2 linked regions of the Lepisosteus oculatus genome follow. The protein of the gene in region 1 purifies or fractionates together with the protein of each later gene. This does not show direct contact. Links are inferred from orthologs where the notes say so. Each region holds a gene or a part of one and is shown on either strand. Other genes may lie near its edges.

The links.
Region 2: the proteins of nipsnap2 (region 1) and trifunctional enzyme subunit alpha, mitochondrial purify together in Homo sapiens (affinity purification with mass spectrometry; 3 studies listed by BioGRID and IntAct, with this or other methods). This does not show direct contact. The link is inferred for Lepisosteus oculatus from reciprocal best matches to the Homo sapiens genes NIPSNAP2 and HADHA.

Annotation. Positions count from the first base shown.
Region 1 is NC_090721.1:5,712,599-5,720,805, reverse strand, and holds the start of nipsnap2 (protein NipSnap homolog 2), read right to left. Parts: upstream 3,948-8,207; 5' UTR 3,920-3,947; coding exon 3,810-3,919; intron 2,635-3,809; coding exon 2,495-2,634; intron 2,278-2,494; coding exon 2,232-2,277; intron 1,442-2,231; coding exon 1,347-1,441; intron 805-1,346; coding exon 734-804; intron 318-733; coding exon 177-317; intron 1-176. Other genes in the region: nf2b (NF2, moesin-ezrin-radixin like (MERLIN) tumor suppressor b), read left to right, coding at 8,045-8,134. UniProt on the Homo sapiens protein: Protein involved in mitophagy by facilitating recruitment of the autophagy machinery required for clearance of damaged mitochondria.
Region 2 is NC_090697.1:47,018,191-47,026,399, forward strand, and holds the start of trifunctional enzyme subunit alpha, mitochondrial, read left to right. Parts: upstream 1-4,248; 5' UTR 4,249-4,291; coding exon 4,292-4,358; intron 4,359-7,125; coding exon 7,126-7,167; intron 7,168-7,252; coding exon 7,253-7,323; intron 7,324-7,911; coding exon 7,912-8,045; intron 8,046-8,209. Other genes in the region: hadhb (trifunctional enzyme subunit beta, mitochondrial), read right to left, coding at 50-94, 624-720, 1,130-1,171, 1,557-1,623. UniProt on the Homo sapiens protein: Mitochondrial trifunctional enzyme catalyzes the last three of the four reactions of the mitochondrial beta-oxidation pathway.

The sequences.
Region 1 (8,207 bases):
AACCATTAATTACCGGCGAAGGTCATATAACACAAAGTGAAAAACACACCAGGATACCAAAACCTCTGTAGTCATTGTGCTCCGATAGTGTGGTTCTTGATTAAGGATGCTGTAAATCCCATGCAAAAAGAGTCCCCCCTTTGCTGCCGGTACGATTTGAAAGATGCAGGACTCACTCGGAGCTGATATGTTCTCAGCTCGTATATGTTGGGACCTTGTCTGGGTACAGGCTCATTCCAGAAGCTGAACTCCAGCAGCAGCTGATTCCTACGGGACAAAAGCATCTTCCCTCTTTCTTTCCGATACTCCATGAATTCCTGGGGAGAGAAAACTTCCACATGAGGCCAGCGACCAATAATATCGCCATCAAAGCTTTTATGCTTTTGTAACAAGTGATTGTGGTTTGCAAGAATAATATTTTACTCAACTCTGGGAAAATCAATTAATATTCAAGCGCCACATACTAATTCTAGCTCATAATTCTAAATGTGCAGTACCTATAAAGATCGTGTGATTACCTGGAATAATCATAACCCTCCATACCTGTGAAGTCTGTAATATTTTCTTCCCAGCTTCAAACACAATATTGAAATCAATAATTTAAATCACACATGAAGCCACAAAAAGCTGGCAAAGACCAGCCTGTTTCTCCCTTTTCCTTTCAGAGATTGTAAGTCGAAAAAATAGTGGCGTTATTTACGTTTTGTATACGGATGAAGAAAGGCTCCAGTACCTTGTTTTGCCTAAGTTTACTCATTACTTCAGTTAGTGCTGGGTAACCTCCCTCATACCTCCACAGGTGAACTAGAAAACAAAATGCAGAGCACTTTATGTTACTTGATGGTTACTTCATTATGACCACATCATTGAGAAAGTATTGCTTAGTAAACCAAGAGCTATCCATGTATCTTGTTAGTTGCCGCTTGTACCAATTCAGGGTCGCAGGGGAGCCGGAGCCTATCCCAGCAAGCAACAGGCACAAGGAACCCAGAACTATTTCCTCTTCAAATACCAGGAGCTGCACTGCTCTATACAGACAAGCACAGACATACAAAAACAAGCAACTGCTGTTGTCTTTTCTATCAAAAGAGCAGTTCTCAGTACGAGTTTGCTGAGAGACAGGGGCTCATTTGCAGTGTCATGATGGAGTAGTTATACCTGATATTCTACAATCTCCTGGAAAAATCAAAGCATGACATTTTGACCTGGTCATACTATGGGACAGCACTAGCTAATAAATTGTGGCCTAAGGGGTGTAGCATTATGTATTCAAGTGTACAAGTAGGTTTACTGGTAAAACAGACTGCAGAAGACATTGCATGCTGGGTACCGGTGCTGTCCCCTACCAGCCTGATCCTGCTCCCCGTACCACGTATTCCAGGTGCCCACCAGCTCACAGGGGTAGTGCTTATCTGCATGGATTGATGGCAAAACCTCCTCGCTGTATGGAGAGTTAAATTAGTCAAACACTTCAAAGGCCATTGTCTCGGGCACAAAGCTTTTGCTTCACCTTCACCTTTGTCACTCTTGCTCAGACAGACCCCTTCCTCAGCTGCATCTTAAGTGACTGCATTGTCATTTCTTGCAGCTGCTGCTGCTTTACAGTCCTTGCTGTCGATTGTGCTTTTGCCTAGTGTTATGATCATCGGATTGTTCAGTTAGGAAACAGTCCCCTACATAGTCATAAGCCAAAACCATCTGCTTCCATATTCATAAAGAGCTCCCATGTGCATTCTACATGCCAGGGCACACTAATTCCTTTCTGTAAAGTTAAATGGTGTGCAATCTTTATTTAAATATGATCCACATATTTTTCCAAATCATCTTTTTTAAAGAGTTTTTCAAATTTGTTAGCCTACTTCATGCTTTTTACCTGTGTGGGTACAAGCAGGAACAATTACCAACACCGTGAAACAGCAGGATAAAGATCTATTATTCATTGGTCTGCAGTTATGAATCACCAAGAAGCTTTGTAATAAATGAATGAAATCAGGCATATTCATACCTGCAAATACATTGTAAATTCATAACTGGCTCATGGAAACATCAAAAGTTCTTGTTTTAAATTTTTCAAAAATTCACACATTTTATTTTTTTTTCAAATAAATCATTCCAAATGTATCGGGTGCTATAACACACTCTATGACATAAAATCCCATCACGCTCAGTTTAACTACAGCTATACAGATGTTCCTGTTTTTGCTTAGCAAGAATGATAGCAGAAAGCTCACCAAAGTTTGTTGTAGGCATCCAGGCACTCAGGTTTTACATTGTGAACTGGAAACAAAAATAAAAACATTCAAAAATTTGAGTGTTCCTCTTAAGTTAAGAAAAGTAAATAGCTAACACCACTTTTTCTCTACTTGTGGCTTTTCACAAAGAAAAAAGGTCTTGATATATTACACTAACAACAAGCCTTTCAGAATAACTTGCCAACATGATGTTTGTTGCATCTGGTAATAGCAAGGAATACAGTGATGAGCAAGGAACTTACACTGAATTTTGTACAGGTTACTGGTTTCCTTCTTAGCGAGGAGGTTAGAGTGGGCGTCTTTTCTCGGATCAACCTTTCGGACGAAGAGAGACTTGAACCAGCTGTCCTCCCCATTCCTGTTAGTAGACGCTGACAGGGCTCTGAAGGCAACAGTGAGAAGCCAAGAATGTCATTGGTACTGAGACAGGTTTTACACAAGTTTTAATACACTCGCGCCTGAAAGTGTGCATGTGCACCATAGCAGAAATACTATCATAGCAATATATAATACTTCCAGAAAAGCCACGTTAAAGTTGGAGAAATAAAAAAATATATAACTAGAGGTTCATTTACACCTATTTCGATCTCCAGTGAATAATGAGCTCTCTGTTGATTGATGCTTGTAAGCACATCGCCCACATCTGATTAGAGCTCCAGAAACTGAAATCTGAAATAACCAGCCTCCTTCCCACCCTTAATAGTGATGAGGGATACTGAAGGTCTATGAGGAGAAAAATAGCCTGAAAAGTCCCCCCACCACTACCTTCATAAGCATTTTTGGAGGTCATTAGTGTTGCTACTGACCGGGCCTAACCTTGCTGTGGTACTGAGGAGAGACTCTATGCATATGAACACATACTGTATGACGACAGTGGTCGTAAGGCGGAATAGTGTTTCAATTTTATTATAAAATGGGAATACGTCCAATATCATAATCGGTGTTACTGAATCTAAAAATAATACACATATGTCCGGATAAATCAGAAAGAATGGCATAACTAAAAATAAATATCACATAAGCCTAAGTACTACACTGAATAAACCACGCAGAAAACACTGCGTTGACAAAAAAAAAGTGTCAAGGTCAATCACATAATTAACGGTGAAAACAAAGAAAAATGGTAGTCAGTGCCCTCCTTACAACGGTAACCATGTATGCTCAGTAAACAAAGACATTTATAATGACCTTGAGCTGCAATTGGATAAACTGCAGGCACACCACCGACAAAAACTTCCTGCGAGATAGTCGGCCTGTTTCGAGGTCAATATTAAAAAGGGAAACGAAAGGAAACAGGAGGCCCAAAAGTATAACTGGTGTTGCTTTAAGATAAAGTTTTAAACGTTGTTGTTTTTTTTATATCTCAGCGCAAATTGCACACAGCCCAAACAGGGCTGGAAGCGCATTATTTTCCCAACCTACACTACAGTTTGGAGGGGGCGGCGACATCGGCTGCACAAAAAAAGCATGGACCTAAACACGCAGAAAGAGCACCTTTAGTATGAGAGAAAAAAAACACCGCGATGTTTATTACAAACTGCGCGGAAAGAGACGAACCTGGAGACGAAAACGAGCTGTCCTCGGGCTCGGACCCTAGTTCTTGCTTGATTCAGGTCGGCCCCCAAACTCCGAAGGACTCGAGTCGCCATCTTCCTCAGGCTGAGCATTTCCTGCCACTGATAACGACGTAACAGATTATCTGAATCAGGAAAGCCATTGGAGGGCAGTGAAGGCAATTTATGCAAAGAATCGACGTGATGTCTAAGGTCCTGAGCTTTCATCTTGCAAATCTGGGGGTACGCTACTCCAAGAAAAGACTTGTTTTGCTTACGGATGGTAACTGTCCGTAGGGTGCAACCTCACATTTTGGAATGGTCTTAAGATTGCGAGGTAATCATGTTTTGAACACGTGCAATTAGGACTAAGAAGAGAGAATAAAACGTTCGAAGTGTAACTGTTAAAATATAGATCACAAGACTCAAGTGAAGCTAGAAATACCTTTAATGTTTCAAAAAGCTTTTTAAATTAAAATTAGAAATGTAATTTACAATGGTAATGTTGTGCTAATAACATACAGGGAATTCCCTTAGTAACCTAGCTATATCATATACAGTATTCCCATAAATGGAGAAAACAATGTTATATAAACAACGCAGTTAACACAGAAATCATCAACATCGCAATTATATGTTGACAATTCTGTATTCCAACCCAAATTGATTTTCTATTTTGCCAAAACCATCAGATATGTAGGGAATTCACTAAACATATTTTATATGTGCAACATACATATTCTTCAAAGGTTTTAATATTCAAATCATTTCATTTATTTGACATGGGAGTGCCAAGGAGAGTAAGTGTACTGTACAGCATAGTCTCGAAAAAATGATGTTGTAATATTTACAATTCAAAAAGCTTACTGTAGCTCCGAGCGCATCATTTAACCAGATAACTCAACTGAGAATTCTCATTTATAAAGATGATCTGGAGAATACCGATTTATATAATTTTGCTATATACTGTAGTGGGTCAGCATGTGTAAATTACTATACCTTGCTCAAGGGTACAATCGCAGTGCTTCAAATTTTTCACATTAAAAAAGATGCAATTTTATTTAATAGCTAATCAAAGAATCTTGATTCCATAGAGGTACATTTTATACAATTGATTTTTTAACTTCTAAATATTAAAGCAGTGCCGTTGCACAACAGTATATCAGAAAGCTTCAAAGGAATCAAGTACAAAAGAAAACTGTTTTAGCTGTGGAATCTTCTTCAGGCATGAGGGTTCATCATACCCTATTCCTCAGCTATAATAAAATAATAAACTTTATTTTACATAGTACCTTTAAAAGTGGCTACTCAGAGTGCTTTACAGAACAAAACAAATGCACAGTGAGAGGAGACAGTTCTTCTGAAACCTAAAGACTGCAGTTCAAATATTTTTTTTCTTTCTGCTTTACTTTTCCTGTTGGAATGAACTCTGCTTGTTCCTTGATTTACTTTTCAATGTGCTAACACATTTTCACATCTGAAAAAACTAAATTAAAACAAAAATCGATCAAGACAGATATGGACATCATGACACATTGCAAAAAAAAAGTTTATTTTTAAAATGACTTTTTCAGACTTCAGAAGATTTCTCTGGAGTTTTGCTTGATGCTGCTGTGATGTTCAGTTCCTGGAGCTTCTCGGTTAAAGATTCAGCGGTAGTCTCTGTGGAGTCTGAGAGGGGCTCCAAAAACAGGCTTCCAGCAACCTGCTTCCCAGTGAGTGGGTCTACAACCTTCCCAACCTTATACACAACTTCTGCAAGTTCATGCTTAACGTGTTTTGACTTTTTCTCAGGCAGTGCCTTCAAAAGAACCACGTCTCCAACAGTGCACTGTTCCAGAGCGTCGTGTGCAAAATAAGTCTTCCTTTTGTTGTAGAACTGTGAATGACATGATATACCATAAACCTGATGTTAAAAATTGGACATTTTGAAGCAGCAGTTTATGAACTGTTATGAACTGTCAATGCAAGTTCTTTACAATACCAGAATTTGTACATCATTATTTAGAATTATATCCACTAGTTTAACTTAATTCACATTAAATCCACATCTAATCAACTCTGTAATCTGTTTTTTTTGTTTGGACATTCATTCTTTTTCTACAAATTTAAAACAATATCCGTGCATTTGCTAAACTGAGACTGGCATATATAGATAGAACATTTTCATCTTGTAGACATCAGATTTTTTGCGATAGTTGTCGCCAAAATCAAACAGATTCAAATATATAATATTTACCTTCATCAGATACCGATCCAATACAAGTCTTGTCACTCGAACTTTTGCGGTTTTCTGCATTTTGGTTCCGATCACCTTGCCTATTATCCATCTGGCGTGGACTGAGGCTTGTTTTGCAGACATTCTGACAGCTTTCAAAACCTTACGGAAAAGTAAAATCAGCAAAAGGTCAAAACCATCGCGGATCTTAAAGGTCTTTATTGTACGAAAACTGAAAATTACCAGCAGCAAAACGATACCTTCGCCTACACTGACACTTTTTTATAATAAAAAACAACTTTTTGCACTATTGTTGTATCACATACATAATAGAATAACGAATGTAAGCGCGTTTTAAGCATTTCACTATAATATAGCAAATGTATAATCTAAATTTGATAAATCTACAGGTGATTTAGATTAAGCTAATGCTTAACTCTGAATAAAAATATCTTGCAAAAGATATACATTTTTAATCTATTGCAAAATTAGCTCGCGTAAACAAAGTGTATTATAGCAAGCACATGTTCAAAATTAGAAGACAATGATCTATTTTAAGACACTGACAAAATGTCTCCCAGATACGGAACTTCTTACCCTAAAATGTAAGACAGAGTATTAGCAAAAATACGAAAATCGATTAAACTATGAAGGTCAGGAATTCGGAAATCTCTTTCTCCATGCCTTCTGTGATAAAGCGGCGCATTATGATGACGCCATAAACAGAAACTACGGCACCTCGGAAGGGGAAAGGCGACACTTGAACAATGTCAAAACAAAACCGAGATTTGTATGCAGACGCATAGCATAAATACGCGGTATGGGACATTATATCATGTTCATACAGCAACATCATAACTTTAAAATGCAATGGCGGTGGAATGCAATCAGGTCATACACATCCACATAGAATACTAATACTTTAAAAACACTTCAGGTGTTACTAAATATGATGGATAAAGTTTGCAACAATACGATTTTAACGTAGCGATTAATAAAAAACGTGAGAAATACAGTCTAGCCTGGTAAAAAAAAAATCTCTATCGCATAGGGTCAAACCTCAGTGATATCTCTATTGCTTTGAAAAAATCAAGCAGTTTTAAAAAAAAAACAGCTGCCTGCTGTTCATTCTCTCACCTGTAGAGTGAAACAAAGCCTCTTTATCGAAACTCGTGAAGTTAATCGTTGTTACTCTATTTAAAAATAAGTTTTAAAAAATACTGAGAGATTTGGTTAAAACTTTTACTTTTATTTCCCAGAAATGGGAGTTTCGGAGAACTTTTTTGTTATTGGTCTTATTTCGTTAATATTCATCGCTTAAGGGTAAGACCTAGGCGTTGAGTACAAGCGAGCCATTCGATTTTTGCTCCGCTCGGACAGGATACGTGCTTGGACTTTTTTCCGAGGACTTGGCCTTGTGTTGTTGATCTACCGAAAAGGTATATATAAACAGAAAATAATGTACTCATTTGAACCTCTAGACAGTTTTTCTAAGATATAATAAGCCTTTTGATATTGAAGTTTGTGTTTGCTTAAAAAGTTGTAGCATATGGTCAAAATAGATTGTCTCAGTATAGTTGTTTTGATTAGTACAGTTTGGGCTGCTTTGAGTTTGTGTTTCTAATGTTGACACGTTTTTAATACAGCTGTGTTTACGAACTCCTGTTTTAAAGTTTGGCAAGAAAGACCAACTTGTTTAAGAAATATAAAAGTAAGAAATGAAAAAAGAACCAGTCGAACGATTAAAATCTTTTCTGGTCGTTACTCGAACAGGAGTAATACAGCCGAAAGCAGGCAGTTAAATTGTGTAGTCTTAATATCCTTCAAACAGGTTTTAATGCAAGGGTATTTCTTAAAAGAAAATGCACGATTTTATTTGTATTGTAAGTGTTTATATTCCTGTTGTTTCTATATTTTATGAACAAATATAACACTAAGTTTTAAGTTTATTAGTACTAATATTTAACAACAACCAACGTGTTTTTATTAATCGCTTTTTTCAGGTGGCACATAATCCAAACATGTCGATCTTGGGCTTAAAGAAGAAACAACCAAAGACTTTTAAAGTCAAAGTTATCACCATGGATGCAGAGATGGAATTCAGTTGTGAGGTACAGTATATACATAATGCCAACATTTGATAATTTGCAAGTATCGGTAACATTGTTAGTTTAATTGCGTCCC
Region 2 (8,209 bases), on another chromosome or scaffold:
CGTAACCCCAAAGGAATATTATTTGAATTTTACAATTCATTTTACTTACTGCAACGCTGCTCTGGCCAAGTCATGAGGCATCAAATCACTATACCTAAAAAAATGTCAAAGAAATTTTGTCTTAGCTTGAAGGTAGATAATGACTGGCAAAACATGAGCTCTAATTCCCAACGTTAAGGGTAAAAAGATCACTTAACACCCAAACAGCACAAAATAAATACAAGCGTGTTAAAAAAAAAGCTGAAGGGTACAGCTGTAGCCTCAACTGTTAATACACTACTAGGCTATTTCACATGCATTAGCTTGTAGTCCTACTATCACAATCTATTTAAATATTTAAACGAGCAGCACTTTTATTGACTTCAGGAAAGAAGAATATGTCCTGAATGAACGGATGGGTGGATGGAGTTTACAATTCAGGTGTGTTAAGCTGGATTGTTCTTTTTCAGGGGAAAAGCCTTGTAGCATCTTTTGTCCCACCCCATCGGAAAAAAAAAAAGAAAAATGTTCTGCACGTGAAGAAACAATTATGTTTTCTTTGGGAATTAATCCATTAGTTTGAATTAGTTTGTGCATTAATAACTAAGAAAGATTATACTAAAGACATTCATATTTTTACTTACGTTGTTCCAGACTGCAAAAAAGGGGTGCGCACTCCTTCAACTAGAACGATATTCTTCACACCAGGTTTTGCCAGAGTCTTTTTAGTTTTGGGTTGTACTACAATAATAAAGACAAAACATTCAGAACATTTCCATTCTTACTAATACTAAACATAAAAATAAACTTAACCAAAATAATTGATGGTATTGTCAATCTAAATCATTAAACACATCTTTTGTAAAACACTTTTAAACTTTAGGCACAAAAGCACCGGTAAAAAAGTAATAAGGATCTAGCAATTAGAACAACACAGATTTAAAATATTACATTCTGTCCTTCAAAAAAGGATTTTGAAGAATCAAAGATTTCACACCATAAGAAAGGATAATTTACTTTTAGTCTTCTGGAAAGTACTGTAATTATCGATAAATTATTTTAATTCAAAACCCCCAAAGGTAAAATAAACATTTTGCTAAAAAAACACTTTTCTTTTTTGCACAAATGGCACAAAAGAATTAGACTATACCTTGAGCTTGTAAATGTGATGTCGTAGTCAGTGATCTAGCAGCTGATAAGGATGGAAAATACAAAATATTTCCAAGATTAATTAAAACATCCATTGTATATACACTAAAACCTATATTTAAGAGCTTTCCAATTTTTGTTCTGATATTAGCTATTTTTAATTAATGTAAGAAATTGAACAGATTCAACTCAATGCAAATGAACTGAACAAATTCTATGCAAATGGATTGACGTTATTTTCTGATCATGTAGTTACTGCAGAAATAAATTAGCACAACAGAGCAAATGCTCTCCTCCTGTTCTAAGGTTCTGATCTGATAATAGAAAGGGTAGCTGGAGTGAAACCAGAAGATACCAGACTGGAAATCCCAAATGACAGACTGATTTATTCTGAATTTTATTTTTATAACCTGTTCTTTTTTTCTTACCAAGTTTAACAACCCAGGCAGAATTTACTGGGCAGTTCCTGATGCCATGTGTCAAAATGGATGCCATTTTTGCTGTCCTAAAATGCAGAAGAAAAAGTCGTCAACATTCATTCTCCTTCTGTAAGGAAAATGTAATAGAACCCTGATCTTTTTCACAGTTAATCCTAAGATTGTTAAACAAAGTATTTCACTTACACTGAATGATCATAAAAATCCAGGTATGATATCACGACTTTCCGTTTATGAAGGATTCACAATTTTAGGAAATGCAAAATTTACCAAAAAAAAAGGAAAAACTGATTTAAAGCTTGTTTGTAAATGCATATATATATATAGAGGTCTTAAAAAGAAACAAAACACTAAACTAGATAAATAAATATCTAATAATGTTTAGTGGGGTACAAGTCAAACAGCCCCCACTGTTTTCTGTAGCATTTAATGAACATAACTACAACTTGTCTTCCCTTTTCATAAATGACAACTTCACAACAGTATTAAAGCTTTAAATGCAAAACAATCCACCTGCATTATTTCAATAGTTTTATTTAAATTCAGCATGATGTTTTTTTCCGTGCCTTTTACATAGCAACCACATGAACCTAAGTGAAAGGTTGTTCTCAAGATAATAAGCTTGATTTGTGTGAGAAGAGTCATTTCTTCACATAAAAAGCAGCAGGGTTACAAAAACTTTATAAAACTGTACCAATCCTAATCTATTAAGAAAGAAAATAAAAAAAATCAGTTCAATAATGGCCTGCGACTAGCCCATTTCGTGGTAAGTACTAAAAGTACAAGAATCTCAACCAGCCATTTATTTAAAGAATCTAAGATATCACAGCTTCAGCATGGCTGGGTAGCTTGTTCCAGACTCCCACAACCATTTTGGTAAAGAAGTGTCTCCTGTTCCTGTTTTGAAACGCACTTCTTCTTGTGTCCAATGGTTCATGTTTCACTGTTCATTCTGAAGGATTCTGCTGGGTTGACACTGCCAATGCATGTGAGGATTTTGAATCAGGTTCTGGATAATATCCCCCTATAGCCTTCTCTGATCATAACTAAAAAGTTCACGTTTCTTCAGCACTATAGTGTAGGACAATCCCTTCAGCCCCACAATGTTACTACTCCTTTCTGGATGGATTCTAGAGTAGCAATATCTATTTTATAAAAACATGGCGAGTTAAATTGTATACCATATTCTAAATGATGCTGTCCAGCACAGCAGACATATGACAGGTTTTGGTGTCAAAATTGTTTGACTTCATGGTTGACCTTAATGACATCTTTGAAGTGTTTTTTTTTTTTGCCTTCTGCTTGAGTGTATGAAGTTGTCTATCCAACTTCACACACACAGGGTATTCCAAATGAAGTCTGCATCACACAAATGTTAACATAACCCCCTGAGTTAAGTTCTACTCTTTTAAATATTTATCCTGCCATTTTGATAAAACGATAAGACAGTAAACTGTTCTGCAACGTCACTGCCTCAGTCTACACAAAGAAGCTGCATTCTGTTCTAGGAGACTCAAAAGCATTTTAGTTATCTCTCAAGCACTTCTATATATTTGACATTTAACTCCACCTTTTCAGAAATTCAAGGTAGTAAAACGCATACGGAATTCATATTGTACATTATATTCACAGATCGGGTGTTCCGGAGTGAGAGTTTCCTATCTGGGTGGAAGCACCGCCCACAGCTACACTTGACCTCTCACCTACTTCTCCAACCTCCATACCACACGAGCCTCTGCAATGAAACAATACATTGCAGTTCATTTTGGTTGGAAAAGTAAGGTCTGTGATAATCCAATCCACACAATTCAAGAACTGTGTTCCCTTTAATGGTTACACAAATCCCGAGATTAACAAAAAAGTGGGGCACTTCTTACTGGTAAAGAGAACTTTCAAACGATGTTGGAAATGCAAGGCGCTTGCAAAAATAATACAAAATCTGGCTCCGACAACGCTCGCTTAATTTGGCACGATTTTCTCGATCTAGAATAGAAAATGAATTATTCACATAACGTACCAAATCATAACCAACCTTTAAAAAAATATTAATCAGTTATCGAAAACAGTACCGATTGCAACTTATTGATCATTGTATTTCATTCACATAAAGATAACATCTATACGAACGATGCAATGTTAAACTATTAAGTAAGAGGAGTGTCACTGAAATAGAAGCGCCTGAATTTCAAATTACTAATGTGAAAACTGCAACGCAATGATTTGCACCTGATGTTTCCCCATGACTTAAAAAAAAACAATGCATGCTGCTTTACATACTTCTCTGCTTGTTTACACATGTTTTAGCGCTATGTCTGAAAGCATTACCCGATTTCTTTTCTTTCTGGCGAAATACGCTCACCTTGTCCGTAACGGAATACTCACACGCAACACCCAAACCCTGACTGACCCGGACACAACAAGCCTTACAGTTGTCTCTCTCTAAGGACCTTCGACAGGTTGTGCTTTCCCAATCCTCGCCTGACATCCTTGTGCGGCTCGTTACATTAATGAAATAATAGTAGGAAATTGAACAACAGTACAAACTGGAAACCTTAATAATTTAGAATATTTAGACTTTTATATATATTTAAATTTTACTTTTAGAAGCTTTCTCTTATGTTTTGTCTCAGGCTTATCTGTGGTGTCCTCAACAGATATTAATACTGAAGGTCCTAGTCTGCTTGCCAAAGGTTGTTCTCTCCCTTGTCTGAACTTGACTGGCAAAGATGGCTGGCGTAAGAGCGCTTGGAATACTTTCCAGGTTTGCAACGAGCAGATATTCACTCTTTTCAGGTAACTGAATATGTTAGCTTATTAAGATGCTGGGTGCCACCTGCACCTTCCTCTGTTGCCATTATTGTTTAAGAAAAGAGAAGTTTCTTGGTGCTGGATGAGTGGGTGTACAGTATGCAACTGAAGCAGGTCTGCATTGACCTTTCACCTACTTAAATAGTGACAGTTACTTTGATAGAAATGCACACAGAAGTCATAACATAAGGGTTTTGTTGTGTCTATTGTAGCTGATGCATATAAAATTGAATATTTTTTCTAAGGCAATTTGTTCCTTTATGCGTTTTGCAGTTTTAATTCACCCAGACGTTGCTCTCCTTTTTATTTTTTTCGTGATTGATTTGCTTTCTTTGAGTCTTAAAGGCAATTTCATTGAATTTAATCATGATTATTAGCGTTCTTAATAGTTAATGTTTTGGATTTTTGTAATTCTTTGAAGTAAGTGATTATAGTGCAGTACTACAAACAGCAACGCTAGGAAAAATTAAGACTTTTTCTACACACTGAGCACAAAGACTGAACACACACCAATGTACTCAGTCTTACAGTTTTTGTTTATTCTCCGTAGGGTGTGAGAGTTTTCTTTCCTTATGTGTATTGCATTCAGTTAGTTGAATATGGAGATTTGGAAAAAATACCAGAATGCTGTTAATCACTCTGCAGTAATTAAAGTTACCTTTTAATATGGAGGAGCATTCGTTCTACTTGACTACTCAAACACAGAATTGCTAAAGTATTAAATGGGGTGCCGTGCAGTTTAATATTCAGTGTTAATTATAGTGATCAACTTCTGTGCCTCTGACTTAAAGTTCATAAAAAGCCTATAAAGTATATTCATTTAATTTTTGGAAGGCAAGGGGAAAATCGATTTTATTAAGGCACACTGAGCCTATGTGGAGTGAAAACGCTGTTGCTGTACCTTCTTATACCTTAACATTCATGTCACTGTGGCAAGAGAAAATCACTGCAGTCTTCAAAACCCTTTCAGTTTAAGGCACTTTTTTATTCTGTAAAGATGGGAGAAATCAGTTCTATACGAGGGAATATAGATATTTCATGAAAGAGGTCAGAATATTAACAAAAGTTGATATTGTATGGAAAACATAAAACTGCTAAAAAAGCTATAGGAGCTAAACCATGTAGTGCTCTTAGGTCAGTGCCAGTTAAACTTTATTAAAGTAGTAAAATATGATTATTACTCTAGTTTAATACATGTGTTTTATGGTGTTAACATTTAAAGGTTATTCAGGTAGAGCTGTGTTCCATATTTCACTTTTTGGATTTCCATTTTAAATGATAATTTGATTAACATACTGCAGATTAAAATATTCTGTAAAATATTTCACTTGTGAATGTACTGTAACCTTGATTTAAGCAGTGGCCATTACTAAGCAGTTGCCATTGCCAGTGGTATTGATCTTGTGCTGTGTCACATGTTAAAAAGAAGGACAAAGGTCACTTTCTGCAAGCTTTTTATCTTTCCACCTATAAAAGGAATTTGTGTCAAAGTTCATTGCCTTCTTGCATCAAGTAGACTTGACGACCCCAAGTTGACCCCAAATATTAAAGGGACCACTTACTTCAATGTGATTTTTCACTTGACTTTCCATGTTAAGAGTTTTTTTTTTACTGTTTAGCATTTGTATTATTGAAATGCAAGCTAATTGAATATATAAACCTATACTAATGCAATATTTTAAAGCATTTAAAATGCTTCATTAAAAATATTTTTTTTTTATTCCTGAATGACAACTGTTTTGAAGGTCTTCTCATTTATACTTATAAATGTGACGCATTTGTTTCCCTCAGCCTTCTATATTTAACACTACACATCTTGCCATGGGTATTTTATGAATGTAGAAAGAGATTTGTCCCCAACTAGAAGCTGTAGTGTGTCAGCGGTCACTGGGTAAAATGAATATTAAGGTGTTGAAACAGCTACAATTATCCATCAAGGTTACAAACTAGTCTGATCAAGTACCACATACTGGACTTAAAATTTTGTTAAATTCCAGGAAGTTCTAGAAACATCCAGCAGATAATGTAACAATGTTTTGCATTTAGGGAAAGTTAACAAGGACTGTAAGCAAAAAGCATTTGAGCAGGTGTGGTTGAAGAGCACGAGACCAGACTGAACGAGCTACAGCCAAACAATTCAATGTTAGCACTTGATTCTGCCTTGATGAACCAGAACTTGTGAAATACAGGAGCGCTAAAAGGACTTCTTTTAAACACAGGGAAATGAGCTGTACGGCCAAATTTAAGGAGCTAGTTAAGAACCCATTCCGAAATCCACCAAGCAAAGTTTGTTTATTAGGAGTTTTGATTGGGACCAAAATGTGTCTCTCTTTTCCTCCGTTTAAAGGCAGGCTTTGCCATAGATAATTATTTGGTTTGTGAAATTCACTCGGTTTATCTTGATTGAGATGTATGTATCCTTCAACATGAATGATGCATTCATAGTCTTTTATTTAATTAGCTTGCATTTTGTGCTTCAGATAGTGTGATAAGTTTGTCACTAAAGCTATTGCCTATTTCATTGCTACCACCTTGAGGATAGTACATAAAAAAAGGCCACATGACCTTGTTCATGTGAGTAATTCACCTGACGAATAAGGTGGGTTATTATTCATCTTTAATAAATGTGCTGTTTCTCAGATTGTACTGCCTTGTTTGAAAGTGAATCTTAACGTAAAACCTTAACTACCTACTTTTGCTATTAATACCCCTTATATTATTATTCCTCATAAGTTTTATTTTCTTTCTGTAGGTTATGCGTGCCGCAGCTTCACAGTTTCTTCTGCCATGCTAGGTAACTATGGTCATAGTCTGTTATGTTGTACAGTATGTTTTGTTAATATTTTGTAAAATGGTTACAAATTTTGTTTTCCCTACAGTTCGAACCCATGTCAACTATGAAGTTAAGGGAGATGTTGCAGTTATACGAGTCAACGACCCAAACTCCAAGGTACTTCAAATATATCATTAGACTTTTTTTCCGATATTTCCAGCTTTTTTCTGTTCTGTGTTTTAAACGCCTAGTTTTCAATTGAATAACGTCAAGCTTTACTTTTGATATTAATTTGACACTAAAAACACAATAGCAGCTATAAGTGGACCTTTGGTCTCATTCACTGTCAGTTTTTTTTATCCTAACCAATAAGGACACCCGGTGTAACTGCTAAAGACTGGACATACGCCAGCAGAATCACTCTTTTATACCCACCTACAAAACAAAGTAGGAATGTATTAGGTTTATGAAAGTAAAGAACAATTATGAATATCGTGCTTAAAGCAATGCTCCAAATATAAATGAATTTTTCTAAAAAGTTTGTCCTATTTTGAGACATACTTAAATATGAAGATATAGAAAAACTAAATACAAAAATAGACAGGTAAAAAACATGTAGAAAATATTAGTATAATCTTAATGATTATATAATATGCCATAAAAAAGTGACTTAACTAGTTTTTATTTGTTGCCTATGTAAGGCAGGTTACATAGACGACCATTTTAATACTAAAGGAAACTTTGATTTGTCTTTGTCTTTTGCAGGTTAATGCTTTGTCGGTGCAGATGCAGTCAGAATTAACACAAGTAATGAATGAAGTCTGGACAAATGATGCCGTCAAAAGTGCTGTGCTCATCTCCTCCAAGCCTGGCTGCTTCATAGCCGGAGCAGATATCAAGTCAGTCCTAATTAATAGATTAAATTGAAGCAATTTGTCTGTGTATTTGTTGTGTCCTTTATTACCGATAAAAATTATTTTGCAACGCCATAGAAGTGACCGGCGGGTTTTTTTTTCATTTGCCCATTTTGGTGTAACTCTTGTTCAGTATTTTATGTCCAGAT